Saccharomyces cerevisiae S288C: one gene and its partners. The protein of the gene in region 1 purifies or fractionates together with the protein of each later gene. This does not show direct contact. Each region holds a gene or a part of one and is shown in the gene's direction. Other genes may lie near its edges. The genes, in order: HTB2, CMR1, PSH1 and RFA1.

What was found.
Region 2: the proteins of HTB2 (region 1) and CMR1 purify together in Saccharomyces cerevisiae (affinity purification with mass spectrometry; 3 studies listed by BioGRID, with this or other methods). This does not show direct contact.
Region 3: the proteins of HTB2 (region 1) and PSH1 purify together in Saccharomyces cerevisiae (affinity purification with mass spectrometry; 5 studies listed by BioGRID). This does not show direct contact.
Region 4: the proteins of HTB2 (region 1) and RFA1 purify together in Saccharomyces cerevisiae (affinity purification with mass spectrometry; 3 studies listed by BioGRID). This does not show direct contact.

What each region holds. Positions count from the first base shown.
Region 1 is NC_001134.8:231,911-239,532, forward strand, and holds HTB2 (histone H2B), read left to right. Parts: upstream 1-4,581; coding exon 4,582-4,977; downstream 4,978-7,622. Other genes in the region: UTP20 (Utp20p), read left to right, coding at 1-3,207; HTA2 (histone H2A), read right to left, coding at 3,484-3,882; ECM15 (Ecm15p), read right to left, coding at 5,243-5,557; alpha,alpha-trehalase NTH2, read right to left, coding at 7,031-7,622. UniProt on the Saccharomyces cerevisiae protein: Core component of nucleosome. Nucleosomes wrap and compact DNA into chromatin, limiting DNA accessibility to the cellular machineries which require DNA as a template.
Region 2 is NC_001136.10:171,364-180,112, forward strand, and holds CMR1 (Cmr1p), read left to right. Parts: upstream 1-3,554; coding exon 3,555-5,123; downstream 5,124-8,749. Other genes in the region: DExD/H-box ATP-dependent RNA helicase DHH1, read right to left, coding at 1-567; YDL159W-A (uncharacterized protein), read left to right, coding at 819-950; mitogen-activated protein kinase kinase STE7, read left to right, coding at 1,118-2,665; DMO2 (Dmo2p), read right to left, coding at 2,869-3,225; B-type cyclin CLB3, read left to right, coding at 5,410-6,693; MutS family protein MSH5, read left to right, coding at 6,971-8,749. UniProt on the Saccharomyces cerevisiae protein: DNA-binding protein that binds to both single- and double-stranded DNA. Binds preferentially to UV-damaged DNA in vitro. May be involved in DNA-metabolic processes.
Region 3 is NC_001147.6:226,768-234,490, forward strand, and holds PSH1 (ubiquitin-protein ligase PSH1), read left to right. Parts: upstream 1-1,846; coding exon 1,847-3,067; downstream 3,068-7,723. Other genes in the region: AIM39 (Aim39p), read left to right, coding at 3,318-4,505; DDR2 (Ddr2p), read right to left, coding at 4,803-4,988; adenosylmethionine decarboxylase SPE2, read right to left, coding at 5,679-6,869.
Region 4 is NC_001133.9:156,254-165,008, reverse strand, and holds RFA1 (replication factor A subunit protein RFA1), read left to right. Parts: upstream 1-6,389; coding exon 6,390-8,255; downstream 8,256-8,755. Other genes in the region: YAR010C (gag protein), read left to right, coding at 1-465; YAR009C (truncated gag-pol fusion protein), read left to right, coding at 822-4,412; tRNA splicing endonuclease subunit SEN34, read right to left, coding at 5,216-6,043; COMPASS subunit protein SWD1, read right to left, coding at 8,724-8,755. UniProt on the Saccharomyces cerevisiae protein: As part of the replication protein A (RPA/RP-A), a single-stranded DNA-binding heterotrimeric complex, may play an essential role in DNA replication, recombination and repair.

The sequences.
Region 1 (7,622 bases):
AAAAACACGAAATATTTCACCGACTTCGAAGATATGGCCATTTTACTGTACAATGGTGATGAAGAAGCAGATTTTTTTACAAACGTTAATCATATTCAGCTTCATCGTCGTCAGAGAGCCATTAAAAGACTAGGTGAACATGCTCATCAACTCAAAGATAACAGTATATCCCATTATTTAATTCCAATGATCGAACATTATGTCTTTTCGGATGATGAAAGATACAGAAATATTGGAAATGAGACCCAAATAGCCATCGGAGGGTTGGCGCAGCACATGAGTTGGAATCAATACAAAGCTCTTCTTAGAAGGTACATTTCTATGTTGAAAACCAAGCCTAACCAAATGAAGCAAGCCGTACAATTAATTGTTCAACTTTCTGTTCCACTTAGAGAAACTCTTCGTATCGTAAGAGATGGGGCTGAGTCGAAACTTACTTTGAGCAAATTTCCTTCCAACTTAGATGAACCCAGTAATTTTATTAAGCAAGAATTGTATCCGACTCTTTCGAAAATTCTTGGCACTAGAGATGACGAAACTATAATTGAAAGAATGCCTATTGCGGAGGCATTAGTTAATATTGTTTTAGGGCTCACAAATGATGATATTACTAATTTCCTCCCTAGTATTCTAACAAATATTTGCCAAGTTTTGAGAAGTAAATCCGAAGAATTAAGAGATGCAGTAAGAGTAACCTTGGGTAAAATCAGTATTATCTTGGGCGCTGAGTATCTTGTCTTTGTGATAAAGGAATTAATGGCTACATTAAAACGTGGTTCTCAAATTCATGTGTTAAGTTACACTGTCCACTACATATTAAAGAGTATGCACGGAGTCTTAAAACACTCCGATTTGGATACCTCGTCCAGTATGATTGTTAAGATTATAATGGAAAATATCTTTGGGTTCGCTGGTGAAGAAAAAGACTCTGAGAATTATCATACAAAAGTGAAAGAAATTAAGAGTAATAAAAGCTATGATGCTGGTGAAATTCTCGCCTCAAACATCAGCCTGACAGAATTTGGAACATTACTCTCTCCTGTGAAGGCTTTGTTGATGGTCAGAATTAATCTAAGAAATCAAAACAAACTGAGTGAATTATTGAGACGATATTTGTTGGGTTTAAATCATAATAGTGACTCTGAGTCAGAAAGTATCCTCAAGTTCTGCCATCAGCTTTTCCAGGAATCAGAAATGAGTAATTCCCCTCAAATACCAAAGAAAAAAGTGAAAGACCAAGTAGATGAAAAAGAAGACTTTTTCTTGGTAAATTTGGAGTCGAAATCTTATACCATCAACTCAAACAGTTTGCTTTTGAACAGCACTTTACAAAAATTTGCTTTAGACTTACTTAGGAACGTAATAACGAGACACCGCTCCTTTTTAACTGTCTCGCACCTAGAGGGTTTTATTCCATTTTTGAGAGATTCGTTACTTTCGGAAAATGAAGGTGTGGTAATTAGTACTTTACGTATCCTGATTACATTAATTAGGCTAGATTTTTCCGATGAATCTAGTGAAATCTTCAAAAACTGTGCGAGGAAGGTACTAAATATTATCAAGGTTTCTCCTTCAACTTCAAGCGAATTATGCCAAATGGGTTTAAAGTTTCTTTCTGCCTTTATACGTCACACAGATTCAACATTAAAGGATACTGCTTTGAGTTATGTTCTAGGGAGGGTCTTACCAGATTTAAATGAACCAAGCAGACAAGGCCTTGCTTTTAATTTCCTAAAAGCACTTGTTTCAAAACATATCATGCTTCCAGAACTCTATGACATTGCGGATACTACTAGGGAAATCATGGTCACAAACCACTCAAAAGAAATTAGGGATGTATCCAGGAGCGTTTACTACCAATTTTTAATGGAATATGACCAAAGTAAGGGTCGTTTAGAAAAGCAGTTCAAATTTATGGTCGACAATTTACAGTATCCTACCGAGTCCGGCCGTCAGTCCGTAATGGAATTGATCAATTTGATTATTACAAAGGCTAATCCTGCTTTACTATCCAAATTATCATCTTCCTTCTTTCTGGCGCTAGTTAATGTTTCTTTTAATGATGATGCGCCAAGATGCCGTGAGATGGCTTCAGTATTGATTTCCACCATGCTTCCAAAGCTTGAAAATAAGGACCTTGAAATTGTTGAAAAATATATAGCCGCTTGGCTAAAACAGGTTGATAATGCATCCTTTTTAAATCTTGGGTTGAGAACTTATAAGGTCTACTTGAAAAGTATTGGGTTTGAACATACTATTGAGCTAGACGAGCTTGCCATCAAGCGTATAAGGTACATTTTGAGCGATACGTCGGTAGGATCAGAACATCAGTGGGATTTGGTATACTCAGCTTTAAATACGTTCTCATCTTATATGGAAGCAACAGAGAGCGTTTATAAACATGGTTTCAAAGACATATGGGATGGTATTATCACATGTCTCTTGTATCCGCACTCATGGGTCCGTCAATCGGCGGCAAATCTTGTTCATCAACTCATAGCCAATAAGGATAAGCTGGAGATATCATTAACCAATCTGGAAATTCAAACCATTGCAACAAGAATTCTTCACCAATTAGGTGCGCCTTCTATTCCGGAGAATCTTGCGAACGTCTCAATAAAAACATTAGTTAATATCAGTATCCTATGGAAGGAGCAACGCACGCCGTTCATAATGGATGTATCAAAACAAACTGGAGAGGATCTAAAATATACTACCGCCATTGATTATATGGTAACTCGAATTGGTGGTATTATCAGGTCGGATGAACATCGTATGGATTCTTTTATGTCGAAGAAGGCGTGTATTCAGTTATTGGCCTTATTAGTTCAAGTTCTGGACGAAGACGAAGTAATTGCAGAAGGGGAAAAGATATTATTGCCGCTATATGGTTATTTAGAAACATATTACTCAAGAGCAGTTGATGAAGAACAGGAAGAACTACGCACTCTTTCAAACGAATGTTTAAAAATACTGGAAGACAAATTGCAAGTATCCGATTTTACAAAAATATACACTGCTGTCAAACAGACCGTATTAGAAAGAAGAAAGGAAAGGAGATCTAAAAGGGCAATTCTGGCTGTTAACGCTCCACAAATTTCTGCTGATAAAAAGTTGAGAAAGCATGCGAGATCGAGGGAAAAGAGAAAGCATGAAAAGGATGAAAATGGGTATTATCAAAGACGTAACAAAAGAAAGAGAGCCTAGCTGTAATATATCTTTATAACATGTATACTAATGAATAAAAAATCCAAGTTATAACGTCAAAGCTGTAGTACGTTAGCATTTCCGTAAGTAAAACCGTAAACTTGATACGTTTTTTATTTTCTTTATTAATAGTAATACTATACACTGTCTTTAATAAAACGACGCTATTTATAAAACTGTTAGATAAAAGACATACCAGTCTTCCTCATATGACCTACTTTAAAACCCCAAATGACAAGAATGTTTGATTTGCTTTGTTTCTTTTCAACTCAGTTCTTACAGTTCTTGAGAAGCTTTGGCAGTCTTGGCAGACTTCTTTGGCAACAAGTTTTGGTGAATGTTTGGCAAAACACCACCTTGGGCGATGGTAACATTACCCAATAGCTTGTTCAATTCATCATCATTTCTGATGGCCAATTGTAAATGTCTTGGAATAATTCTGGTTTTTTTGTTATCTCTAGCAGCATTACCAGCCAATTCTAAAATTTCAGCAGCCAAATATTCTAAGACAGCAGTTAGATAGACTGGAGCACCAGAACCAATTCTCTGGGCGTAGTTACCTCTTCTTAGCAATCTGTGCACTCTACCAACTGGGAATGTTAAACCAGCTTTAGCAGATCTAGATTGAGAAGCTTTAGCAGCTGAACCAGCTTTACCACCTTTACCACCGGACATTATATATTAAATTTGCTCTTGTTCTGTACTTTCCTAATTCTTATGTAAAAAGACAAGAATTTATGATACTATTTAATAACAAAAAACTACCTAAGAAAAGCATCATGCAGTCGAAATTGAAATCGAAAAGTAAAACTTTAACGGAACATGTTTGAAATTCTAAGAAAGCATACATCTTCATCCCTTATATATAGAGTTATGTTTGATATTAGTAGTCATGTTGTAATCTCTGGCCTAAGTATACGTAACGAAAATGGTAGCACGTCGCGTTTATGGCCCCCAGGTTAATGTGTTCTCTGAAATTCGCATCACTTTGAGAAATAATGGGAACACCTTACGCGTGAGCTGTGCCCACCGCTTCGCCTAATAAAGCGGTGTTCTCAAAATTTCTCCCCGTTTTCAGGATCACGAGCGCCATCTAGTTCTGGTAAAATCGCGCTTACAAGAACAAAGAAAAGAAACATCGCGTAATGCAACAGTGAGACACTTGCCGTCATATATAAGGTTTTGGATCAGTAACCGTTATTTGAGCATAACACAGGTTTTTAAATATATTATTATATATCATGGTATATGTGTAAAATTTTTTTGCTGACTGGTTTTGTTTATTTATTTAGCTTTTTAAAAATTTTACTTTCTTCTTGTTAATTTTTTCTGATTGCTCTATACTCAAACCAACAACAACTTACTCTACAACTAATGTCCTCTGCCGCCGAAAAGAAACCAGCTTCCAAAGCTCCAGCTGAAAAGAAGCCAGCTGCCAAGAAAACATCAACCTCCGTCGATGGTAAGAAGAGATCTAAGGTTAGAAAGGAGACCTATTCCTCTTATATTTACAAAGTTTTGAAGCAAACTCACCCAGACACTGGTATTTCCCAGAAGTCTATGTCTATTTTGAACTCTTTCGTTAACGATATCTTTGAAAGAATTGCTACTGAAGCTTCTAAATTGGCCGCTTATAACAAGAAATCCACTATTTCTGCTAGAGAAATCCAAACAGCCGTTAGATTGATCTTACCTGGTGAATTGGCTAAACATGCCGTCTCCGAAGGTACTAGGGCTGTTACCAAATACTCCTCCTCTACTCAAGCCTAAGTCACTCACTAGGTATTGTGATTTAGTCATGTTTTCTTTTTATTAGTGGCATTTTTTATATATTGTAACATTAGGGTTCTGTTACTTGTCCAGATATGATTGGAAGGGTCTAGTCTATCAGCCTCCGAAGGGAGTTGTATAAATGTATATATATAACTTTATAAACAAAAAAAATTGGGAAAGATATTTTGCAAACAGTTATTATTAAATTGTTTCTTAAACTCTCCTTAAAGATATACCCTATTTAGGTTCACTACACGAGCATTCATTGAGAAATTTTTTTTAAAACAACATCGATCTTATCTTGAGCAGTTTGGTGCTTATCAGTTCTAGTCCCAACACGAATATCAGTGTGTACTCTAACATATCCTTTCTCATGACCGTATTCATGGATTTCGCCAATCAAACCCATCACATCATCCCAAGGCCCTTCAATTGTTGTTCCTGCACTGTGTAAAGTGCTCTTTAATGGGCTTTCTCTGATTTTTTTTTCAATGAGTGCAACAAAATCAGAAATACTAGCAGAGTCGGTGCCAATAGGGACCATACACACGTCCGCTAAACAAAAGATCTTGGGCATTTTCTAAACTTGTAGTTTATGTGCTTTATAGTTAATGATCACGACGGCAATGACAAAAACTGAATATCTTGATCTCTCCTTTTGACGATGTCAGTGAATCCCGGTTAATGATATTCTGTTTTTCACGGGGTGGAAAAGAGGGGAGCTTGAATCATACTAAAAAAGGAATGTCAAAGAGCTATATAATTCGAATAAAAAGTAAAAGAAACGAAAGGTTTTATTAAAGGGTTTGGAGCTGTTTTCGGACTGAAAGCCAGTAACAAGCTTGTGTAGGAGTTTGTCTGAAAACCATCTTCATTTCAAATAAGAGAGCGAGTAATTTTTAAATAATTTCTTTTCTGAACTACTTAAATCGCTATGTACCTTGCGAAAATTATTCTTTAATAGTTTAACTAAAAGTAAAAAGTTAGAAATCATAAATAAAAAATCAAAGAGACAAATCTCGTTGCAAAAGCTTGAAAAATAGTGCTTTACCAACAGGTTGGCAAACCAGAATGCTAACAAAACTTAAAATCCCATTTCCCAAGAGGATCAATCAATCATATTTACCTTGATAGTATAGGATACAAGTGTCTGTGCAGGCCTCCGATAACATGTAAAGTAATAAAAGTAGGAGTACTTGCTTTCAGCAGAAAATGAAAAAAAGAACGTTCAAACAGACTGAAAATATAGCTATTCAACTGGCACCTACTAATATCAATAATAATAAATTAATCTTGAGCAAATTGATCCTACATAAATCATGTGACTTATTTATTTAATTATTATTAAGTAAAAAAGATTTTCTATTTAAATTTATTAATTAATTTTTTTTCTTAAATAATTATTTTATGTTTTTGTTTTCCGAAAAAGAAAAATATTTCAACAAGAAGTATCAATATATTTCTTGCAAAAAATTGTTCACCGAGAATTGACAAAAAAACCTTACGTCGGTGACGACGATATACAGATCCTATATTCTTCATGTATGTAATAGATTCCCATACCTTCTTCGCATTTAAGACACTAATAGAAATGAAAGCTTTCTATTAGTCATTCTTCCTATGCACTAGACCACGCAAAGGTGAACCGGCTTGGTACGAGAATTCTATCACACGGTAATGATAGTGTTCCCGATGTCAAGCAGTCTTATACAGTACTACCCAAGAGCTTAAGAATAAGCAAGAAGATCTGGCAAGCTACAAGGTACTCATAACGATCTTCAAAGCGTAAGTTATGATCTTATGAAAATCAGACTTTTTTGTCTCAACAAACTCCTAGTTTGAAGATGTTACTGAAATGCCCTTCAAACACTTTTACTTGAAAATCATCGATTACTATTCTAACCTTCACAAATGAGCCTTTACACAACTTGATTAATAATAATATTTGACCTTACTCTAAATCGTCTCAAATATTACTGAGGCACAATCTCATGGTTATTGATAGAAAGAAGAATATAACATATATCTTATTTACATATGTTCGTCAATATTATAGGTAATACAATTTTTTCTCAGAGGGTTTCAAACTATTGAAAAATGGCAATGGTGGACTACAAGCAGCGAGAGCCCTTCTTGCATGATTATTCATATATTTCAATCCGAGCAAATAACTTGTGTTCACCCAACCAAAGCCTTCTGTAGCGACGCCCTTAAAATCAGCACCTTGATTACCATATTCCGCATCAACGCGATGCGGATCAGTCCCTCTTGTCACATCATATTTTTCTACCACCATTCCGTTATAATCAACAAATGATTTTGTAATCATGTACAGCCACCTATAAGCCAATCTTGTAGCTACTTGTTGATAACCATATGCAGATAAACCTTTCCAGGCTAATATTTGGTGCGGCGCCCAACCAAAAGGATAATCCCATTGCCTGATCGGTCTATCAATAGAAATAGGACCTCTTGATTTTTCTGTGCATGCAACTAGTCCGCCGAGCATTTCTAACTGAGGAAGAGCTTTTTCTACTGTGATTTTTGCTTGCTCTTCAGTTGCAAGACCAGCCCACAAACTCCAAAAAGTCGTTGCAGACTCATAAGACGTTCTGCATTTCAGTTTCGTGTTATAATAGAAG
Region 2 (8,749 bases), on another chromosome or scaffold:
ACAATCAGACAGATCTGCTACTTTTCTCGAAGCTAAATCCAACACTCTACCAGGAGTACCAACCAAAATATGGACTGTTTCATTTAATCTTAGAATATCGTCTCTCAAATTGGTACCACCAGTGGTCACCATACATGAAATACCACAGTGTTTTCCCAATGTACGGACGACTTGGGAAGTTTGCAGAGCTAACTCTCTTGTGGGAACCATGATCAAAGCCTGAATTTTATTCAACTTTGGTTTGACTTTCTCTAACGTAGGAATAACAAATGCGGCTGTCTTACCTGTACCATTCTTTGCTCTGGCCAATATGTCTCTACCAGTTATTGCTACCGGAATAGCCTCTTCTTGAATAGGGGATGGTTTTTCAAAACCGGCTTCAAAAATACCCATTAACAGCTCTCTTTTCAAATAAAAATCTTCAAAAGTATTACCCTTTGTATTTAAGACATCATCTGTCTGTGGTCTGGTATCCTTCTTGGGAATATTCAATGCAGTTTTCCAGTCCCGATCGAGATCCGTATTACTGTTATTATTAGTGTTGAAGTTATTATTGATGGAACCCATTACTACTATTTTCTTTCTTGTCGTATTTTAGGCCTGGGATAAGTTATTATGCGAATGGCGATGCGGTTATGAAGAAATAAAAGGGCTAAAAGTAAGAATTTTCTGCGTCTATCTTTCTATTAGGAATAAAATATGACTATATTTACTATTATTGTTGTTTTGTCGTACAATCCTTTATGAATGAAAATATTAAGCTTGTGGTCTTAAAAGAATGTGGATGAAACAAAACTGAATCCAATGATGAGAAATAAATGTACAATCAGATAATAAACACTTTTATTGATGATTGTCTTTTCTTGCAAACCCCAATGTTACAATCGCCCATTAGTTCTAAGATTGTGTTGTCCTTTTTCTTACGAAATTTTTTTCCCTCCCTTTTTTGATCACTGTCCTCGTTATAAGTGATTCGTGGGGTAACGGCGATATCATACTATTATTGGCCCATCTGATGGATTAGAAGACCTACAGGTTAATGTGAAGCGACACTAATGATAAGAAAACTGCATCGGATCATATCTGTTTTTGCAGCGTGGTATATTGGTTGTTGGTCATGTTTCAACGAAAGACTTTACAGAGAAGGAACTTGAAAGGGCTCAATCTTAACCTGCACCCAGATGTGGGCAATAATGGCCAATTGCAGGAAAAGACAGAGACTCACCAGGGACAATCTCGAATAGAAGGCCACGTGATGTCTAACATTAATGCAATACAGAATAATAGCAACCTGTTTTTGCGAAGAGGCATAAAAAAAAAACTGACGTTGGATGCGTTTGGTGATGACCAAGCTATATCGAAACCAAACACTGTGGTAATACAGCAACCGCAAAATGAACCTGTTTTAGTTCTGTCTTCTCTATCACAATCCCCGTGTGTATCATCATCATCATCTTTGTCCACGCCATGCATTATAGATGCGTACAGTAATAATTTCGGATTATCGCCATCATCCACGAATTCTACTCCCTCTACGATTCAGGGATTGTCCAATATTGCAACACCAGTTGAAAACGAACATTCGATATCACTACCACCTTTGGAGGAAAGCCTATCGCCAGCCGCAGCAGATCTGAAAGATACGTTGTCGGGAACTTCAAATGGTAATTATATACAACTCCAGGACTTGGTTCAGTTGGGGAAAATTGGTGCTGGAAATTCTGGAACTGTGGTGAAGGCACTACATGTTCCTGATTCCAAAATAGTTGCCAAAAAAACCATTCCTGTGGAACAGAATAACAGTACAATCATCAACCAATTAGTTAGGGAATTATCTATCGTCAAAAACGTTAAGCCCCATGAAAACATTATCACCTTCTATGGAGCTTATTATAACCAGCATATAAATAATGAAATCATAATTTTAATGGAATACTCTGATTGTGGTTCTTTAGATAAAATACTGTCCGTTTATAAAAGGTTTGTTCAAAGAGGGACTGTTTCGAGTAAGAAAACCTGGTTCAACGAATTAACAATATCAAAAATAGCGTATGGCGTACTAAATGGCTTGGATCATTTGTACCGACAATATAAGATCATTCATCGTGATATCAAGCCTTCCAATGTTCTGATTAATAGTAAGGGGCAGATTAAGTTATGTGATTTTGGAGTTTCCAAAAAACTAATAAATTCTATCGCTGATACATTTGTTGGAACGTCCACTTATATGTCACCAGAGAGGATACAAGGAAACGTTTATTCTATCAAAGGGGACGTTTGGTCATTGGGCTTAATGATCATCGAGCTGGTAACTGGAGAGTTTCCCCTAGGTGGGCATAACGATACACCTGATGGCATATTGGATTTGCTGCAACGTATTGTCAACGAGCCTTCACCAAGATTACCCAAAGACCGTATCTATTCCAAGGAAATGACAGATTTTGTCAATAGGTGTTGTATTAAGAATGAAAGGGAAAGGTCATCGATTCATGAATTGCTACATCATGATCTTATAATGAAATACGTATCACCGTCTAAAGATGATAAATTTAGACATTGGTGTAGAAAAATAAAATCTAAAATAAAGGAAGACAAGAGAATTAAAAGAGAAGCCTTGGACCGTGCCAAGTTAGAAAAGAAACAATCGGAAAGATCAACCCATTGAATGCATGCGATAACATTAGTTAGGAACATATTGCACTTTTTTTCACATCCCTTTCTCAAAGCTATATTCATATATATATAGACTCTCCTGATTATGTAAATCACAAACCAATTTTCTAATGTAACAATATTTTTAAAAATAATCATCAAAGTAGCACTTTATGTACAGAAAATTTCACGATTGAGAGAAGCTTGCGAATAATACTAGTTAGCCTGTGTTTCACCATCGTTACTTAATTTCTTATAGTTCTTATATTCTTTATTTTTATGCCACAACCAACCTTCGGTTCCTCTAACGAAACCGAAGGCGATTAATAACCCACCGAAGCTACGTAAAGTTACTTTCCACCATTGTGGGTTTCTTTTTTCAAATTCAGTCAGAGAAATGCCTCTTTTGGCTTCTTTTTTACCATACTTGAATGGTTTCCCAGATGCCAAGTATGAGCCAAATCCAACAGAAAACATAGTGCTCATGACTTGACAAGGAACGCAATCCATAGTCTCTTCTTTTTCCAGCTCCCTTTGTGGTGGAGGGTTGAACACTGCCAAAATATTACTCATTGTTTTTCACCACTTGCTGTTTCTCTCTAAGCGGTGTTTTGTTTCCTACTTGGTGGCACACAATGACTGTACTCGCTTTATATGCTCGTACCTTTTTTCAAAAGCCCATCGTTAATTTTTCACCCGAGGACCCCATATTACGCGTTTTTTGTTAATGTTCAATTTCTGACATGTTACAATTATAATAACGCCAAAAGAGGTAAATGTATATTTGAACAATTGTTAAAGAGAAGATAAAAACCCTTTAATCTTGCATTTGTCGTCAATAGTACACAATAGGCGATCTATTTTAGTACGGCAATTAAAAGAAAGCTGCTTTTCAGTCAAGAATGCCGGAATTAACAGAATTTCAGAAAAAACGTTTAGAGAACATCAAAAGGAATAACGATTTATTGAAAAAACTCCATTTGTCTGGAGTAGCATCTCAAATTAAGCACGAGGCTGGGGTGTTGGAAAAATCTAGAGCTCCTGCAAAAAAGAAACAAAAAACAACTAATACCAGAGCAACCAAGTCTGCGAGTCCCACTTTACCTACACGAAGATCAAGAAGGCTAAGGGGTGAGTCTGCAGACGATGTGAAAGGAATACCCAATGTGAACGATAATCAGTTGCTTAAAATGGGTTCTCCAGATGGCCAGGATAAGAATTTTATAGACGCAATAAAGGAGAAACCTGTAATAGGAGATGTGAAATTAAGTGATCTGATCAAGGATGAAGACGAAAGTGCCCTTTTAGAGAAATTCAAGAGGTTTAATAACGGAAACTTTTCTTCTGGTGATTTCTTTGAAGAAATAAAAAAGAGACAGGGTGACGTTACGGGGATGGACGAATTTGATTTGGATCTATATGACGTTTTTCAACCGAACGAAATTAAGATTACATACGAAAGAATCTCTGCCACTTACTTCCATCCTGCTATGGAAAAAAAGCTAATAATTGCAGGTGATACAAGCGGTACTGTGGGTTTTTGGAACGTTAGAGATGAACCACTAGCTGACAGCGAAGAGGACCGAATGGAAGAACCCGATATCACCAGAGTGAAACTATTTACCAAAAACGTCGGCCGTATTGATTGCTTCCCTGCGGACACATCGAAGATATTGCTCACCTCTTACGACGGAAGCATCAGGTCAGTTCACTTGAATAACTTACAGAGTGAAGAGGTTCTCACCTTGAAAAATGAATATGACGATTCACTGGGTATCAGCGATTGCCAGTTTAGCTACGAAAACCCAAATGTTTTATTCCTCACCACATTAGGTGGTGAATTCACCACGTTTGACACAAGAGTAAAAAAATCAGAGTATAATCTGCGAAGACTCGCAGACAAGAAGATCGGGTCTATGGCAATAAATCCCATGAGACCCTACGAGATTGCCACCGGATCACTTGATAGAACACTCAAAATCTGGGATACAAGAAACCTTGTTAAAAAGCCAGAGTGGTCACAATATGAAGACTATCCCAGTCATGAAATTGTCTCCACATATGACTCAAGATTGAGCGTCTCTGCAGTTTCTTACTCACCGACAGATGGCACCTTAGTGTGCAATGGCTATGACGATACCATCCGCTTATTCGATGTCAAGAGTAGGGATCACCTTTCTGCGAAGTTGGAGCCCAAACTAACGATTCAGCACAATTGCCAAACAGGAAGATGGACAAGCATCCTCAAGGCCAGGTTCAAGCCGAACAAGAATGTTTTTGCAATAGCTAACATGAAGCGCGCCATCGACATATACAACAGCGAAGGCCAGCAACTGGCTCACCTACCCACAGCTACTGTCCCAGCTGTAATTAGTTGGCACCCGCTGCGAAACTGGATTGCAGGTGGTAATTCTAGCGGCAAAATATTCCTCTTTACTGATGACTCCGGAACCATAAAGCAGGAAGAATGAAAACATCTCAGTTACCCGCACTGCCTTTTTTCTCTCCCGCTTTTCAGCAGAACGAGGCGACAAGCGAAGGAACAAAACAAAACAAAAGAAAACAAAAATATTGAAATGCAAGAACATGGACACATAAAAACATTTTTGATCCGGTCGAAAGAAAACGATCAGAAATTTTTAGCTGCTTGCTTAGAAGAAAAGAAAAGAAAATTGCAGAGAAAAAGCTATTTATTGTTTCTGTCCTTCGCTTTAAAACATAGAGATATTTTGTCCTTTTTATCATTGCTTATTATAAATGCATCATAACTCACAGTCTTTGAGCTCTGGACACATCAGGAGCCCCGAGGATGAAAATGTGGCACCTATAGGTAATCTTAAACACAGGACTGGATCCCTCAGTCATATTTCATCTGCGCACCCGAGGGTCGCACTTAGCGACGTTACCAATATAGTTGCGACAAACTCTAGCAACAACAGCATAAGTAAGCCAAAAGTCGCCCCAATTAAAGAAAGATTGGATTCAGCTGCGATAATTGAGGAAGAAAGGCTGGATGCGAATAGTGTTGCACAGAGAAAAGAAGCTGATCATAACGATTTGTTAACGGACAGGGAACAAGAGGAACCCGTTGAAGACGACGGAGAAAGCGAAGAGGATGAAGAAGAAGACCAGGAGCCTCTACTGTTGCAACATTATGCTAGTGATACATTGGTCTGGGAGCATGCATTTAGAACTTACTATAGAACTACATTAGATCCCAATGATGATGACGTGTACGATGTGGTCATGGTTGCCGAATTATCTAATGAGATATTCGAGTATATGAGGAAATTGGAAGACCTGTATAAACCCAACCCGTACTACATGGATAAACAACCAGAGTTAAGATGGTCGTTTCGAAGCACACTGATTGATTGGATCGTCCAAGTACATGAAAAATTTCAACTTTTACCTGAAACTCTATATCTCTGCATTAATATAATAGACAGATATCTGTGCAAAGAAGTTGTTCCTGTAAATAAGTTCCAACTTGTGGGTGCAGCCTCACTCTTCATTGCTGCTAAATATGAGGAAATCAACTGTCCTACAATCAAGGATTTCGTATACATGTCAGAAAACTGCTACTCAAGGAACGACCTGCTGGACGCAGAAAGAACTATTTTGAACGGCTTAGAATTTGAATTGGGTTGGCCTGGTCCGATGTCATTTTTACGAAGAATCAGTAAGGCAGACGATTACGAGCATGATACGAGAACACTGGCCAAATATCTATTGGAATCCACAATAATGGACCATCGACTGGTTTCCGCTCAACCTAGTTGGTTAGCTGCCGGTGCATACTTTCTAAGTAAGATTATTCTGGGCCAAAATCAGTGGTCTCTGGCGCACGTCTACTATTCCAATTATACACAAGAACAAATTCTTCCGTTGGCCACCATTATTTTAGAAAATTGCAGATATGCCTCTAAACGTCATAACGCCATATGGAGAAAATATTCTTCACGTCGTTATTTGCATTCTTCACAGATCGTAGCGAAGTGGATAGCATTAGCTGAACACAGAGTAGAAAGATCTAACTAAAAAGCCTCAGCTCGAGACATGGCATCAACAAAGGAAAAAGGATTCATTACCGTCTTTTGCACACAAAAACTTTAATCATCAGTAATAAACATATGTAACTTTTTAACCTTAAAACATACTAATCTCCGTACTTTTTTTAAAGCATCCACAATCCATATGGATATGACGCGAAATTAGCTCGGCGGTTAATTATTAAAAAATTGAAGCTAAAATCAAGGTTAACAAAACAACTCATTCAAAATAACTTACTCATTCATATACTGCCACCAAATGGAATATGTCCCATGAATGGCTCATAAGCGCATCGGAAACAATGAGAAGCATTGGTAATGGGGAAGGTTTGCGGGATAAAGGTGCTGTCGTTGCCAACAATGACGGAGAATTTAACGAAGGTGATACAAATCGTGAAGAGGATAGCTCTACCATTTTCTCCTTCGATTTTGACGAGGAGATTGTAATGTGTATTGACTTTTCTGGAGGAAAACTCGGGTGTTCTATTTTAGATTATCATACCAAGACTTTGAAAGCGTTTGACCAGGACTACGTGGTCAATAAAACAACAATTTCGTCTCATGATCTTATCGATGATGCAGATATGTCTTCAAACGACATAAGTCTGTTACTTGGACTTTTAATAATGGAAGCAAACCCAACTGTATGCCTAGTGCCGGCAAGATTGGAGGATTGGATTTTCGACTACATTAAGACAAAATGCGATGAGATAAACTGTAGGCTAGAACTACAACCAATAAAACGTTTCAAAAAATGGGACTTATTGCAGTCATTGCAGTTAAGGGGTCATGATAATCAGACTATATTGAACGACATATTATCAAATAGCAAATTTACCACCACAGTCACCTTAGGTACAGTGGGATGCATCCTTGCAAATCATGAACAACTTGGTGAATACAATGACAGTACTGCTTCAAGTAATATGGTAACAGGACGATTAGTTCAGAATGCTTTTGAAGATGTGATACATGGCATAAGGTATATCGACATAAGGGATCGGATGGTACTGGATGAAAATACTATATCGGCTTTGCATATTTTTCCAACAGCTCATAAACTGGGCCATGATAAGATGATGAGAAATGGTTTCTTTAGTGTATTTGAACTATTCAATCAAGTGTCTTCGGACTACGCCAGGAGAATTTTGAAGTCTTGGCTTATTAACCCATTAACCAATAAAAAACGGATAGAAACAAGATACAGCATCATAAGAACCTTATTGGATAAACAAAACGCCATCATTTTTAGTGACCTTAGCCAATCAATAAAAAGATGTCCAGACGCTTTTGGGTTTATAAATCAGTTAAGAAGTGGTAAATCGACATTAGGGACATGGTCCAAGGTTGCAAGTTTTTTAGAAAAAGGAATAGCTATATTTCAACTGGTGTCGTCCTTGAAATTAGGTTCAGACGAAGCCAACATTTTACATGATATCAAAAATAAGGTTGATATATCAGCTTTAAAGGAATGTTTGAGAAAAGTAGAAACGGTAATAGATTTTGACACATCAAGAGATACCAAGACGCTCACGATAAATACGGGGGTTGACAACAGATTAGACGAATGCAGAAATATTTATAATCATTTGGAAGGGATCTTACTGGATGTCGCAAGAGAAACTCAAATTTTTTTACTGAATACTATGCCTCAAGAAGATTGTAAGACAACAAAGAGTTTAGAAAAGTTAGTGAATGCTGTTTATATTCCCCAATTAGGATACTTAGTAACCATTAGCGTCTTAATGGAACCTTTATTGGATGGCATTCCAAACCTTCAATGGGAAGAGATCTTTAGGAGTTCAGAAAATATATACTTCAAAAATGGCAGGGTTCTTGAGCTGGATGAAACATACGGCGATATTTATGGCGCGATTTCAGATTTTGAAATTGAAATCCTGTTTTCCTTACAAGAACAAATTCTGAGAAGAAAGACTCAACTCACTGCTTACAATATACTGCTTAGTGAACTGGAAATATTATTATCGTTCGCTCAAGTGTCTGCTGAAAGGAATTATGCAGAGCCTCAATTGGTGGAAGATGAG
Region 3 (7,723 bases), on another chromosome or scaffold:
TATAACAAAACGAATAGAATGAGCAACATGAGATAAAACTCCGCCTCCCGTAGTTGAACCACCCAAACGTATAAATCCCTGAACAATTAGTTTAGATCTGAGATTCCTCGCTTTCATCATTTAGTGTAATTCATATTTTATATGATATATAGAATAAGCAACATCCCATGAATCAAGCTGATAATCCGTTTTGGCAACTGATTACTTCCCAAAGACTCCTTATATTAGGATTGTCTAGACACCCCGGTATTACTCGAGCCCTAATACAACAGTAAAAGTTTGTAAATATATAGAATTAATTGGTCACAATTGTTTGATGCTCCCCTTTCAATTAACGAATATCTATTGACTGGTATTTATATTACTATTATATTATCATATAAGACGTGACAAGATGACATAAAGACTAAGAAACAGTCATTAGATTCATATGAAAGCTAAATGCAAGGATAAATATTGTAATAAGATAATAAGGGCCTGCACATAAAAATGGGAAGAATAAAAAGAATAGTAATAATAATAATGATGATGACGATGATGATGATGATGATGATGATGATGATGATGATTATGATTACAATGTATTTGATAATATACTAGTATCACGAATATTACTAAATGGATGACACTCTAGAGTTTCATCTGAATAATTACCAAATTATTCACCTATCTCTTAGTAGTATACCTATTTTTTCGTTTAATTAGTGTCCTTATTGGCTTTAAAGTAATTAATGCAGATGGTTCATGGCATACAAAAAATACTTTGTTTCGTTTGTTTTTTTTTTCTTTTTGTTATGATTTTATTAGCCTAATAATGTCCTAGAGTTAACAAATGTAAATTGTAAGAGGATACATTACATCTACAAAAATTAAAACCAGTTAACTCTCTATCCTCATCCTTTTAATTTTGTTGAATAAGAGGCAACCATAAAGGTTAAGAAATAGCATCAGATGTAATGGAAGCTGAAAAATGCAATGATTGATTATTCAATAATAGTGAATAACGGCGTGTAAATGAATAAGAAATGGTAATAATAATACTGATGCCTTTTTATGGATTCCTATATCCTTGTGGAAAACCTCTTGAATACTGGGTGAATAATTTGATAATTGTTGTCATTCCATTGTTGGTGAAGGCTATAATATTATGTATACAGATTATAATAGAAATTTTCCTCGAGGATATAGGAATCCTCAAAAAGGAATCTATATTTCTACATACTAATATTACGAATATTCCCAATTCCGTTTTATACATTTCATTATCCTATTACATTATTAGTCCTTGCATTTCGCTTCAATCAATCTAACTGTTTCCCAATCTTTATGTTATCTTCTTACACTGCATGTGATAATATACTAGTAACACGAATACTACTAAAAAGATGATATTTTAAAGTTTCATTCCAACACCTCTAACATGTTCTATATACCTAATATTAAACCTTTATTAATAATGGAATCTCAACAATTGTCTCAAAATTCTCCCATTTCTCACAATCTTGTGCATTGAGAACTGTGCATCATTAAGTTTCTAAAATTTAGATCTTTCATAAAATATTAGACTCCATGGCCAAGTTGGTTAAGGCGTGCGACTGTTAATCGCAAGATCGTGAGTTCAACCCTCACTGGGGTCGTTATTTTTGAATACCCAATACTTTTTTTTCGGGCCATTTCACACAATGGCGTTTTTTATCCTATGTCCACTACAATTTAGATGAGCTCTCTTCTAGCATACAACTGCGATGAGGAATTTGATAATATTCTATTTTAAGCATTAAGTTTTCAGAAAACGAACGATCGCGTTTTTTCTCAGACAGAAAGTTTTAATATATTGATAAGAATAATGGGCGACGAATTACACAACCGTTTACTTCACCAAAACGATGGCACCAAGGACGCCATACTTTATAAGATAATAGAATCGTTAGTTTGCTCCATCTGCCACGATTATATGTTTGTACCGATGATGACACCTTGTGGTCATAATTATTGCTATGGTTGTCTGAACACCTGGTTTGCCAGCAATACTCAAAAAGAATTGGCTTGTCCGCAGTGCAGATCTGATATTACCACCATTCCCGCATTGAATACAACGTTGCAACAGTATCTATCATTCATTTTAGAGAAATTAAGGGACCAGAATGATGAATCTTTTAAAAAACTTTTAACAACTAAAACCAAGGAGGAAAATGATTACAAGAATGACAAGGAAAAGGACACATTGTTTGACAAAGTATTTAAGAATAGCGCATTGGCAGTGGCCGACGACTCGGATGATGGTATCACACGTTGTAGTAATTGTCATTGGGAATTAGACCCAGACGAAGTAGAGGACGGAAATGTTTGTCCCCACTGCAATGCCAGAATACGGAATTACGCAGGTGGTCGCGACGAATTTGATGAAGAAGAATACAGTGAAGGAGAGTTGGATGAAATCCGGGAAAGCATGCGTAGGCGTAGAGAGAATCGATTTGCGTCTACCAATCCGTTTGCTAATAGAGATGATGTAAGTTCTGAAGACGATGATAGCAGTGAAGAGGAGCCCATGCGAGAACATATCCCACTAGGCCGTTGGGCCAGGTCACATAATCGTAGTATTGCTGTGGATGCTGTGGATGATGAAGACGACGAAGAAGAGGATGAGGAAGAAGAAGAGGAGATGGATTCCGATTTGAAAGATTTTATAGAGGATGATGAAGATGACGAAGATGAAGATGGAAGTAGGAGGAATTTGGTATTGTCTGCACTCAAGAACAGACATGTAATTATTACTGATGATGAGGAAGAGGAGCAACGGCGACATGCTACAGAAGAGGAAGATCGCGATAGTGACTTTTACGAGCATAATGATGATGGTTTTGTAAGTGGTGATAGCCTTGATGAGGATCAGAAGGAGGTTACACGGATACAATCGAGTTCTGATTCCGAAGATCGTTCACTTTCGTATTCCGGCTCCAGCGATGTCAAGGATAACAATGACGATAACACGGAAGAATTAGATGACCCACAACCGAAAAGGCAGAAACGCTTCCGTGTAGTTCTAGGAGACAGTGACGATGAATAATCTGAACATTTTAACTAGCGGGAACGGCATATGTACGGAACTTTTATGTATGTTTTTAAAAAATTTCCTTTCTATCCTTATTACATTAAGATTTTTAAGCGATAGTAGGATCGGAAATATAAGCACTCGTTTATGATATAAATAGGTCAAGAATTTCGTAAAGTAAAATCAATACATATGTGAATCTTTTTTTTTTTTTTTTTGGGACTGCTATTGGTATTTTTTTAGCGTCACGTTAATCAGCCCAATTATGTGGGGGTTATGCAAGAAGCATTTTCCGAGCAATAAAATTCAAGTGCAGGAGAGAAACAAAGCATTAAAACCAAAGAAGAGTGGCAGCGAACATAAGACAAAGCAACTGTTTCCTGTATTCAATTGCAAGAAGAAGGAAAAAGGGGTAATGATACGGTTTGCGATTCTACGTAATGCTAACACATCTCTACTGTCCGCGAGAAGTATATGCTTATTTACCCAGGCGCCTACCTATTGTCATGTAAGGTTGAATACCTTGAATAAAAGCATTACAACTAAAAGAAATTCATTGACAGAGTCGAAAAGGCATGTCCATGATGGCAAGCATTTTTTTACGACGCCACATCAACAGCAACAGACGAAGTTGGGGGAAATTGAAGAGGGACACAGTCCTAACATAAAAGGAGAGGACTTGAGAAGCATTGGTCAAGCAATAACACATCAGCGAAACAAGCGCCGAAAGCAAATATGGTCCGCCATATTTGGTGGTATATTCGGTGTGATATTAGGATACTCACTAATCTATAGAGTGATATATTTAAAGGAACAAAGTTTCTTACCATTGTTTCCATCATCCAAGATACGTAAACTGAGTACCAGAGATTTGAAAAAGGTTGACGTAAACCAAGTACAGAAGCTTTCTAAATTAAGGGTTTTAGAGATATTATCCGGTCATGACATGATCAAGGAACAATACGGAGTACCATTGCTTGATAAAGATGGCAATTCACCCACGTTAAATGAATTCAGCATGTGGTGCGAAGATCAAGATCCATGTGTAACTGGTATTGTAATGGAGCCAGACGATAAAAGGGATAGTTCGCACACTTGGTATAGAATACCCTTTGTTTGCAAATGGAGGATAACGCATCGGCCAATAAGTATACGGGGAACCATCGACGATTTACTGAACCGCATTGGTTTGGAAACAGCCGATTTATTTGAGATTATATCGCCGGAGAGGGTATACGGGTCGTTCAAGTACGAATACCCACTGCAGGGGGACTCACATGCATTACACCTTTGGTTTCATGGCGAAATCGAACTGGACGATGATTCTTTGATTGTATATAATGGAAAATACCACGTTGATGTTAAATTGCAAGAAATCGACCTCTTCAGACGTGAAAAGAACGGACAACTAATACAGTACGTTCTATACAAAAACGAAGCGGGCGACAAGTAAGAAAAATGTAAATATTTTTATCACAATTATGATTATTATCGTTATTAAACTACTTATTTTCGGTTACGTAGATGAAATAGTGTTATATAAGAATATTTGAGAAAGTAAAACTGATAAATAAATATAATGGAATGAAAAAATAGAGACGAACTGGAAGAAGAGAAAAAAAATTAAAGCACCAAATTTACTACTCTGGGGCCTATAGATGGAATATCAAAGGGGAAGATGAGAAAAGAAATTATACATTTCAGAAACGTCAATAGGGTATCATCATCGTGGCAGTAAGCGGCGTTTTTCCTAAATCAAAAAGGCCAAAGCACCACCAACAGCAGCACCGACGACTCCGGCGTTTAGTAGTTGACCATTTTGAGCGTGCAAAGCAGGAGCAGCGTTACTCGTGGTGTTGGATGCGTTTTGAGCATTTACGCTAGTAGCGAGGCCGAAGACAGAGATGGCAGAAATGAAAACTTGTGATACTTTCATGTTTAAATCGATATTAAATTAGCGTGCTTGCTTGGAGGGCTTTTCAGAATGAAAAAAAAAAGAATGAAGAAAGAATTAACCAAAGAATGGAGGTTATGTGTAAGAAATGGCATTTATATATACATTTATATAAAAATGTATAAACATACTTGCATTATTGATGTCCCATAAGGGGTGAGAAAAGACAAAAATGGAAACAGGGGAAAAGAAGAAGAGTAAAAAAAGGATTATTTTAGGAGAGAAAGGGGATTAGAAGAACATCGGGCATAAACCTTTGAGCATCATCCTTTATTGATGTTTGACACCTTGCGATTGATGAAAAATATTGATGATATTAAGGTATTTCTGATAGCCACTGCCCCGTCCCTTGAAGCGGCCTTCCGTCGAGGCCTTGGCAACCGTGTCTGGGTGTGTGATATATTACATCAGAGGAAATAAAAGCTTGAGCGGCTAAACTCCCTTAGCTCAGGGGTGGTCTGGCCAGGAATTTTCAGTGGCCATTTTTCCTGTTCCGGGTCCGGCCAATCTGTGCCGGTTTTCTCTAGAGGAAAAAAAAAAGCATGCGGGGTAATGATGTAGAAGATATACAAGCGGGTTAAACTACATTAGTTATGAGTGCTAGAAAGCAAGCGAAGGATAATAGAAGAGGGCTATTCTATGTAAGTATGAGGAGACACAAATGGCGGCTTTTCATATTTTCTTCTGCAATTTCATATAGAAAAGGTGGTAGTCGTCCAGATCATAAACAATTTTGTCTAACTTGATGTAGTCGGGCAGTGACTCGTTGATGCTTAGTAGTTTTTGGAAGGATTGGTTCTGATAATTTTTGGTAAAAAAGGTCATCGAGAACTCTCTTGGTTGAAAAACGTTCAGAATATGTAGAAGAACGTCCAAGTTGTCTTGCTTCCCTTGGGAAATGTCAAATACGGGTATGTTACTTTCGAAAGAGGCGTAAGACCAACCCTTTTCCGGAGTCACGTGCAGGGTGTAATAGTATTTTTCAGCGAGAATCATATTGGATGAGTATCCACATGGCGTGAACGCAAATGCATCGTGGTGAAATGATAAATCGGAGTCTTGGGCCGAGTTGACATATATTTCGTCAAGCCTTGTATTTTTAGTCATTTGGTAGCCGAGGTTGTGGCCCTTATCTTCGTTTGGCTCCACGAGAGCGGTTGTGGATGCCTCAGGCCCGCAAACAAACTTACTAGCGCATTCTGGGTCCAGCTCCGTCATCAGTACTTCGAAAGTTTCGTCGTCATCCTCGATGTACTCCTTTCCCTTAGGTGTGGAGCGGTCCGTCTCGGTGACGTACAGGTTCCAGTGGTTGCTCTTGTCATTTCTTCCCACGGAATAACTTTTACCATTGTCGAAAAATTTGTTCAAATAGTCGACTTCGTCAGCCCAGTTTTGATGGATAGCGGCTTGCTTACAGGGGAAAAGGAAACATCGTCTAGAATAAAACACTTTAAATGGTTTGTACTTGCCCCCTTGTGTTGTGCGGAAAGCCCACGATAACTCTTGCTCAACGATCTGGAAAAGCTTTTCGAGACAGAACAATGTGGTTGTAGTACCGCACGTCTTCATCGTCAATTTGTGATCGAAGACGAAGAGGGAAGACTCACTCAACAAAAAGGCATCCAGTTCTTTAGTCTTCTTCATGGAAAGAACTTCGCATTTCACTAATTTCAAAATCTCGATCCATCTATCCATGCCAATATTTCTTAATGTCTTTTCGGTCGTGATGGACTTCTTGTGAGGGAAGAACCAGATTTCCAGCAACTTCTCGGGACCCTCGAACGCATCCGTTGAGTCTAAAGTGGCTGATAGTTCGTGGTCAATGTAGTTGTGGTTAGTCAATTCTTTTATGGTGACAGTCATTCTATGGTCCGCCTATTTGCGTAAGACACTATATGAAAACCTAAAAAATATAAAAAAGAAGCTACAGTACAGTAATTGATTAACCTGGAAGAAAAAAAAGAAAAAAAGAGTTGATGCAAGGAGCGAGCTGTAGCGAATACAATATATACACGTATAGATATGCAGAGATGCTTTTAGTCGATTAGCAAAGTTTATTCGATGCCTAAATACCGGAGAACCGTGTTTGGAATTTTTTTTCTTCGAGTGGAAAAAAGTGAAAATTTCCAAAGTCAATCATTGTGTACGTACGCTGAAATTGGATGCAGAAGAGGTAAAAGGCGAAGGAAAAGAGGGCGAGGGTAAAAAGCCTGATTGCCAAACCATGGTGCCCAATTTATTGGATATTACTACTGATGGAAGGCTACATATCTCTGGCGCTTTCTATCAGCTGTCATCGATTTGAAATTCTTCTAGCCCTAGGAACGCCATTATGGGGCTTATCCGGGTAGCCAGTTGGCGGTTTTAGTTTTTTCACTTCTTGATTTTTTTCTAGTTCGAAGAATTTTTTCCACTGATGATTGAGCTATAAAAGAGCCTGATTAAGATGAAGAGCTCCGATTCTCTTCGTTAACGGAGCATCAAACATGACGTTAGCGTCAAGTAACCTACGATATTTGTGCAACAGACATGATGGAGTACCCTCATGCTTTGGCGCGTGCGCATCTATATAAGGTTAGGGACTGCAAAAGAAGCGGCGAGGCAGCCCACATCAAGTGGAACTACACAGACTTCCTTGTCGCGATACTACGGTCCCAAGAGCAATCCTAACAAGCAATTACATATTCCCCCGCTGAACCTGTACAGTCCACGGATGG
Region 4 (8,755 bases), on another chromosome or scaffold:
GAAACAAAAGTCACAAACATTATCGACAGACTGAACAATAATGGCATTCATATCAATAACAAGGTCGCATGCCAATTAATTATGAGAGGTCTATCTGGCGAATATAAATTTTTACGCTACACACGTCATCGACATCTAAATATGACAGTCGCTGAACTGTTCTTAGATATCCATGCTATTTATGAAGAACAACAGGGATCGAGAAACAGTAAACCTAATTACAGGAGAAATCCGAGTGATGAGAAGAATGATTCTCGCAGCTATACGAATACAACCAAACCCAAAGTTATAGCTCGGAATCCTCAAAAAACAAATAATTCGAAATCGAAAACAGCCAGGGCTCACAATGTATCCACATCTAATAACTCTCCCAGCACGGACAACGATTCCATCAGTAAATCAACTACTGAACCGATTCAATTGAACAATAAGCACGACCTTCATCTTAGGCCAGAAACTTACTGAATCTACAGTAAATCATACTAATCATTCTGATGATGAACTCCCTGGACACCTCCTTCTCGATTCAGGAGCATCACGAACCCTTATAAGATCTGCTCATCACATACACTCAGCATCATCTAATCCTGACATAAACGTAGTTGATGCTCAAAAAAGAAATATACCAATTAACGCTATTGGTGACCTACAATTTCACTTCCAGGACAACACCAAAACATCAATAAAGGTATTGCACACTCCTAACATAGCCTATGACTTACTCAGTTTGAATGAATTGGCTGCAGTAGATATCACAGCATGCTTTACCAAAAACGTCTTAGAACGGTCTGACGGCACTGTACTTGCACCTATCGTAAAATATGGAGACTTTTACTGGGTATCTAAAAAGTACTTGCTTCCATCAAATATCTCCGTACCCACCATCAATAATGTCCATACAAGTGAAAGTACACGCAAATATCCTTATCCTTTCATTCATCGAATGCTTGCGCATGCCAATGCACAGACAAATTCGATACTCACTTAAAAATAACACCATCACGTATTTTAACGAATCAGATGTCGACTGGTCTAGTGCTATTGACTATCAATGTCCTGATTGTTTAATCGGCAAAAGCACCAAACACAGACATATCAAAGGTTCACGACTAAAATACCAAAATTCATACGAACCCTTTCAATACCTACATACTGACATATTTGGTCCAGTTCACAACCTACCAAAAAGTGCACCATCCTATTTCATCTCATTTACTGATGAGACAACAAAATTGCGTTGGGTTTATCCATTACACGACCGTCGCGAGGACTCTATCCTCGATGTTTTTACTACGATACTAGCTTTTATTAAAAACCAGTTTCAGGCCAGTGTCTTGGTTATACAAATGGACCGTGGTTCTGAGTATACTAACAGAACTCTCCATAAATTCCTTGAAAAAAATGGTATAACTCCATGCTATACAACCACAGCGGATTCCCGAGCACATGGAGTCGCTGAACGGCTAAACCGTACCTTATTAGATGACTGCCGTACTCAACTGCAATGTAGTGGTTTACCGAACCATTTATGGTTCTCTGCAATCGAATTTTCTACTATTGTGAGAAATTCACTAGCTTCACCTAAAAGCAAAAAATCTGCAAGACAACATGCTGGCTTGGCAGGACTTGATATCAGTACTTTGTTACCTTTCGGTCAACCTGTTATCGTCAATGATCACAACCCTAACTCCAAAATACATCCTCGTGGCATCCCAGGCTACGCTCTACATCCGTCTCGAAACTCTTATGGATATATCATCTATCTTCCATCCTTAAAGAAGACAGTAGATACAACTAACTATGTTATTCTTCAGGGCAAGGAATCCAGATTAGATCAATTCAATTACGACGCACTCACTTTCGATGAAGACTTAAACCGTTTAACTGCTTCATATCATTCGTTCATTGCGTCAAATGAGATCCAAGAATCCAATGATCTTAACATAGAATCTGACCATGACTTCCAATCCGACATTGAACTACATCCTGAGCAACCGAGAAATGTCCTTTCAAAAGCTGTGAGTCCAACCGATTCCACACCTCCGTCAACTCATACTGAAGATTCGAAACGTGTTTCTAAAACCAATATTCGCGCACCCAGAGAAGTTGACCCCAACATATCTGAATCTAATATTCTTCCATCAAAGAAGAGATCTAGCACCCCCCAAATTTCCAATATCGAGAGTACCGGTTCGGGTGGTATGCATAAATTAAATGTTCCTTTACTTGCTCCCATGTCCCAATCTAACACACATGAGTCGTCGCACGCCAGTAAATCTAAAGATTTCAGACACTCAGACTCGTACAGTGAAAATGAGACTAATCATACAAACGTACCAATATCCAGTACGGGTGGTACCAACAACAAAACTGTTCCGCAGATAAGTGACCAAGAGACTGAGAAAAGGATTATACACCGTTCACCTTCAATCGATGCTTCTCCACCGGAAAATAATTCATCGCACAATATTGTTCCTATCAAAACGCCAACTACTGTTTCTGAACAGAATACCGAGGAATCTATCATCGCTGATCTCCCACTCCCTGATCTACCTCCAGAATCTCCTACCGAATTCCCTGACCCATTTAAAGAACTCCCACCGATAAATTCTCATCAAACTAATTCCAGTTTGGGTGGTATTGGTGACTCTAATGCCTATACTACTATCAACAGTAAGAAAAGATCATTAGAAGATAATGAAACTGAAATTAAGGTATCACGAGACACATGGAATACTAAGAATATGCGTAGTTTAGAACCTCCGAGATCGAAGAAACGAATTCACCTGATTGCAGCTGTAAAAGCAGTAAAATCAATCAAACCAATACGGACAACCTTACGATACGATGAGGCAATCACCTATAATAAAGATATTAAAGAAAAAGAAAAATATATCGAGGCATACCACAAAGAAGTCAACCAACTATTGAAAATGAATACTTGGGACACTGACAAATATTATGACAGAAAAGAAATAGACCCTAAAAGAGTAATAAACTCAATGTTTATCTTCAACAAGAAACGTGACGGAACTCATAAAGCTAGATTTGTTGCAAGAGGTGACATTCAGCATCCTGATACGTACGATACAGGTATGCAATCCAACACTGTACATCATTATGCGTTGATGACATCCCTGTCACTTGCATTAGACAATAACTACTATATTACACAATTAGACATATCTTCGGCATATTTGTATGCAGACATCAAAGAAGAATTATACATAAGACCTCCACCACATTTAGGAATGAATGATAAGTTGATACGTTTGAAGAAATCACTTTATGGATTGAAACAAAGTGGAGCGAACTGGTACGAAACTATCAAATCATACCTGATAAAACAGTGTGGTATGGAAGAAGTTCGTGGATGGTCATGCGTATTTAAGAATAGTCAAGTAACAATTTGCTTATTCGTTGATGATATGATATTGTTCAGCAAAGACTTAAATGCAAATAAGAAAATCATAACAACACTCAAGAAACAATACGATACAAAGATAATAAATCTGGGTGAAAGTGATAACGAAATTCAGTACGACATACTTGGCTTAGAAATCAAATATCAAAGAGGTAAATACATGAAATTAGGTATGGAAAAATCCTTGACAGAAAAATTACCCAAACTAAACGTACCTTTGAACCCAAAAGGAAAGAAACTTAGAGCTCCAGGTCAACCAGGTCTTTATATAGACCAGGATGAACTAGAAATAGATGAAGATGAATACAAAGAGAAGGTACATGAAATGCAAAAGTTGATTGGTCTAGCTTCATATGTTGGATATAAATTTAGATTTGACTTACTATACTACATCAACACACTTGCTCAACATATACTATTCCCCTCTAGGCAAGTTTTAGACATGACATATGAGTTGATACAATTCATGTGGGACACTAGAGATAAACAACTGATATGGCACAAAAACAAACCTACCGAGCCAGATAATAAACTAGTCGCAATAAGTGATGCTTCGTATGGCAACCAACCGTATTATAAATCACAAATTGGCAACATATATTTACTTAATGGAAAGGTAATTGGAGGAAAGTCCACCAAGGCTTCATTAACATGTACTTCAACTACGGAAGCAGAAATACACGCGATAAGTGAATCTGTCCCATTATTAAATAATCTAAGTTACCTGATACAAGAACTTAACAAGAAACCAATTATTAAAGGCTTACTTACTGATAGTAGATCAACGATCAGTATAATTAAGTCTACAAATGAAGAGAAATTTAGAAACAGATTTTTTGGCACAAAGGCAATGAGACTTAGAGATGAAGTATCAGGTAATAATTTATACGTATACTACATCGAGACCAAGAAGAACATTGCTGATGTGATGACAAAACCTCTTCCGATAAAAACATTTAAACTATTAACTAACAAATGGATTCATTAGATCTATTACATTATGGGTGGTATGTTGGAATAGAAATCAACTATCATCTACTAACTAGTATTTACATTACTAGTATATTATCATATACGGTGTTAGAAGATGACGCAAATGATGAGAAATAGTCATCTAAATTAGTGGAAGCTGAAACGCAAGGATTGATAATGTAATAGGATCAATGAATATAAACATATAAAACGGAATGAGGAATAATCGTAATATTAGTATGTAGAAATATAGATTCCATTTTGAGGATTCCTATATCCTCGAGGAGAACTTCTAGTATATTCTGTATACCTAATATTATAGCCTTTATCAACAATGGAATCCCAACAATTATCTCAACATTCACCCATTTCTCAGAACCAACTATCTTCGATCAATTTGTATTAAAACTGCTAGCATATTATCATATATGATGTAAAAAGACGACATAAAGGTCGAGTAACAATCATCCGATATAACGGAAGCTGAAATCCGAGGATCGATAATATAGCATAATTACTTGTATGAACGATGCTAAAATATTTGTTCCTTCACATCTACACGTGGAAGTAAATGAACTGGATGTCAACAGTTTAGAAGAGCTTTTTTTTCGGTTCTGGTAAACATTCAATAAACTGTTTTGCTCCCACTAAATATAAATAAACATAATTATATGTCTAGTGATAAACAACTACTTTCCCGCTGAATGCATCAAAATATCAATGCAAATTTAAAAATTGTATTACACATATGTATGCTTCTGAAAAACCTTATAAATACATAAATTCTGAGAAAATAATTATACATGACTGATTCCCAGCTTAACCAAATCCAGCCCATTCTATTGAGAAGAAATGAGTTTCCTTTGTCTCTTCCGCAACACCGCCTATGACCCAAAGTTTTTTCACAGTCGTTCCTAGTCTTGCACCACTTATCATGGATATTAGGTCAATCGGCTCATTATGATAATCAATCGCATCTTGTATCGTCAGATGTGAATGGAAACGAAGAGGATCACCAGGGTATGCTATAAACTTCCCACCAAAACGTCCACCTGGGGACAAAACGTACCCTTGATCTCTCAATGCCTTGTATAAGAAATAGGTCTGCATTTTTCCTGCCTGTCTGTACTGCTTAAATAACAAATCACTGATATCATCGCGGGATAAGCTGTCTGAATCACTCCGTATGTCTCTTAAAATCATAGAGGTATTAGCAATGTCAATGAACAAAGAAGATTCAATTAGCTGGTCATTATTGCTAGATTTATCAAGCCGTTGCAATTCTTCAGCTGTGGTTTTATCATTGATTCTACCGATTTTCTTTAATTTTGCAATGTGTTCATCCTTTTTGAACTTTCTCTGATATTCAAATGACTTGTTCAAACGATCGTTGACAATTTTAGATAGTTTGGCGCCCCGCTCTAATGTTATTCCCTCCATAATCTCATCTCCCTCTTGTCTTATTAATTTCACATCGGCAAGATTGTTCAAATGCAGCCACAGCACATCTTCTAACATAAGCCTCAAAGGTACCGACAAAAATACATTTTGCTGTGCTGCAGTAGGCAAAGTTCCAGATAACACACCACAAATACCCCATTTCCTTAGAAGTTTGATGTGATCTATGTCAAATACTAGCGGTGGCATAAAAACCTCCTCGCCTTTTGCCGTTCTTTTTGCATATATGTTAATAGCTATGCGCGTACCACCTTCTTCAGCCATATACGAAAGGATCTATGCTAATTGGGTGGATTTCTTATCGCATCACTTTCTTATTCTCTAACTCTTCTTCGCTGCTCAATAAAATATCTCTGCTTGGAAAAATGTCACGCGTAAAAATTAGACGAGGCGACAAAAGACGCGTGAACTAACATAAAGGTTTACTTGAACAAATGTTATCACTTTAAGTTCTACACGTAAAACAAAAACTATTCACTCTTCTTATTACGGTAAAGGCGAAACCAGCAAGAAGACCAGATTATACTTACAAGAGATGAGCAGTGTTCAACTTTCGAGGGGCGATTTTCATAGCATCTTCACCAATAAGCAAAGGTACGATAATCCCACCGGTGGCGTTTATCAAGTTTATAACACCAGGAAATCTGATGGGGCTAACAGCAACAGAAAGAATTTGATCATGATTTCCGATGGTATTTACCATATGAAGGCTCTGTTGAGAAACCAAGCTGCATCCAAGTTCCAGTCAATGGAACTACAAAGGGGTGATATCATTCGCGTGATAATTGCAGAACCTGCTATTGTCAGGGAAAGAAAGAAATACGTTCTTTTAGTAGATGACTTTGAGTTGGTCCAGTCGCGTGCTGATATGGTCAACCAAACTAGTACTTTTTTGGATAACTATTTCTCAGAGCATCCAAATGAAACCTTAAAAGACGAAGATATAACTGACAGTGGTAATGTTGCCAATCAAACAAACGCCAGCAATGCTGGTGTCCCTGATATGCTGCATTCAAACTCAAACTTGAATGCAAATGAGAGAAAATTCGCCAATGAAAACCCTAATTCGCAAAAAACCAGACCAATTTTTGCCATCGAACAACTGTCTCCATACCAAAACGTTTGGACTATCAAAGCAAGAGTTTCCTACAAGGGAGAAATTAAAACGTGGCACAATCAAAGAGGTGATGGTAAACTATTCAATGTCAACTTCTTGGATACCTCTGGAGAAATCCGAGCCACGGCGTTTAATGATTTTGCTACAAAATTTAACGAAATTTTACAAGAAGGCAAAGTATACTATGTATCAAAGGCAAAACTCCAACCAGCTAAGCCCCAATTTACTAATCTAACACACCCTTATGAACTGAATTTGGATAGAGACACTGTTATAGAAGAATGTTTCGATGAAAGTAATGTTCCGAAAACCCATTTCAATTTCATCAAACTAGATGCTATTCAGAACCAGGAAGTAAATTCCAACGTAGACGTCCTCGGTATTATCCAAACTATAAACCCACATTTTGAGCTAACTTCAAGGGCTGGGAAGAAATTCGATCGTCGTGACATCACAATTGTTGACGACTCTGGGTTTTCTATCTCTGTTGGCCTATGGAATCAGCAAGCCCTTGATTTCAACCTTCCTGAAGGTTCTGTTGCTGCCATTAAAGGTGTTCGTGTGACGGATTTTGGTGGCAAATCTTTGTCTATGGGATTTTCTAGTACCCTGATTCCGAATCCAGAAATTCCTGAGGCATATGCCTTAAAGGGTTGGTATGATTCCAAGGGCCGCAACGCAAACTTCATCACTTTAAAGCAAGAACCCGGTATGGGTGGTCAATCGGCTGCTAGCTTAACAAAATTCATTGCTCAGCGTATTACTATTGCTAGAGCTCAAGCTGAAAATCTAGGAAGAAGCGAGAAAGGTGACTTTTTTAGTGTTAAAGCTGCTATAAGTTTCTTAAAAGTTGATAATTTTGCATATCCTGCCTGTTCTAATGAGAATTGTAATAAGAAAGTTCTGGAACAGCCTGATGGTACTTGGAGATGTGAGAAGTGCGACACCAATAATGCAAGGCCAAATTGGAGATACATCTTGACAATATCAATTATTGACGAAACCAATCAACTATGGCTCACTTTATTTGACGACCAAGCTAAACAATTATTGGGTGTTGATGCTAATACATTAATGTCTTTGAAGGAAGAAGACCCCAACGAATTCACAAAAATTACTCAAAGTATCCAAATGAACGAATATGACTTTAGGATTAGAGCGCGTGAGGATACATACAATGATCAAAGCAGAATTAGATATACCGTTGCTAACCTACACAGCTTGAATTACAGGGCTGAAGCCGACTATCTTGCCGATGAGTTATCCAAGGCTTTGTTAGCTTAATGTATCAAATAATCAAGTACTATTTAATCTATGTAACATATGAGAAATGTAAAAAAAAAACTTCTATTTCGTCAAGTTTTTGAAGGGCGGTTCAGCATCTCTTGATGACTGGATATGAAACTACACGTTCAGTCATATGAATTTGAACCCATAATGCACAAATGAATAAAAATGCTAACAAATTCTAATTAATGGCATGGTACTAACACCCAACAATTTACCGCCCTTTAGGTGTACAGCTTCAAATAACAAAGCTTTACAAATTCACCTTCAACATTTACGTTCAGTAGTATGAAATTACCATCATGACGTGCTCCTATCAAAGTGAGATTATTGCACTTCGTATTATTAGGAAATTACCAAAAAATGCAAAATTTTTCAATTCTGTGTCAAAGAAATCGCGGTAGGCATGACTATACCTCTTCAGTGTCAGTTGCCTATTTAAACTTTCTCCTTTTGAAGAGAAACCTATGATGACTGCATCTTAATTATCCTCGTAT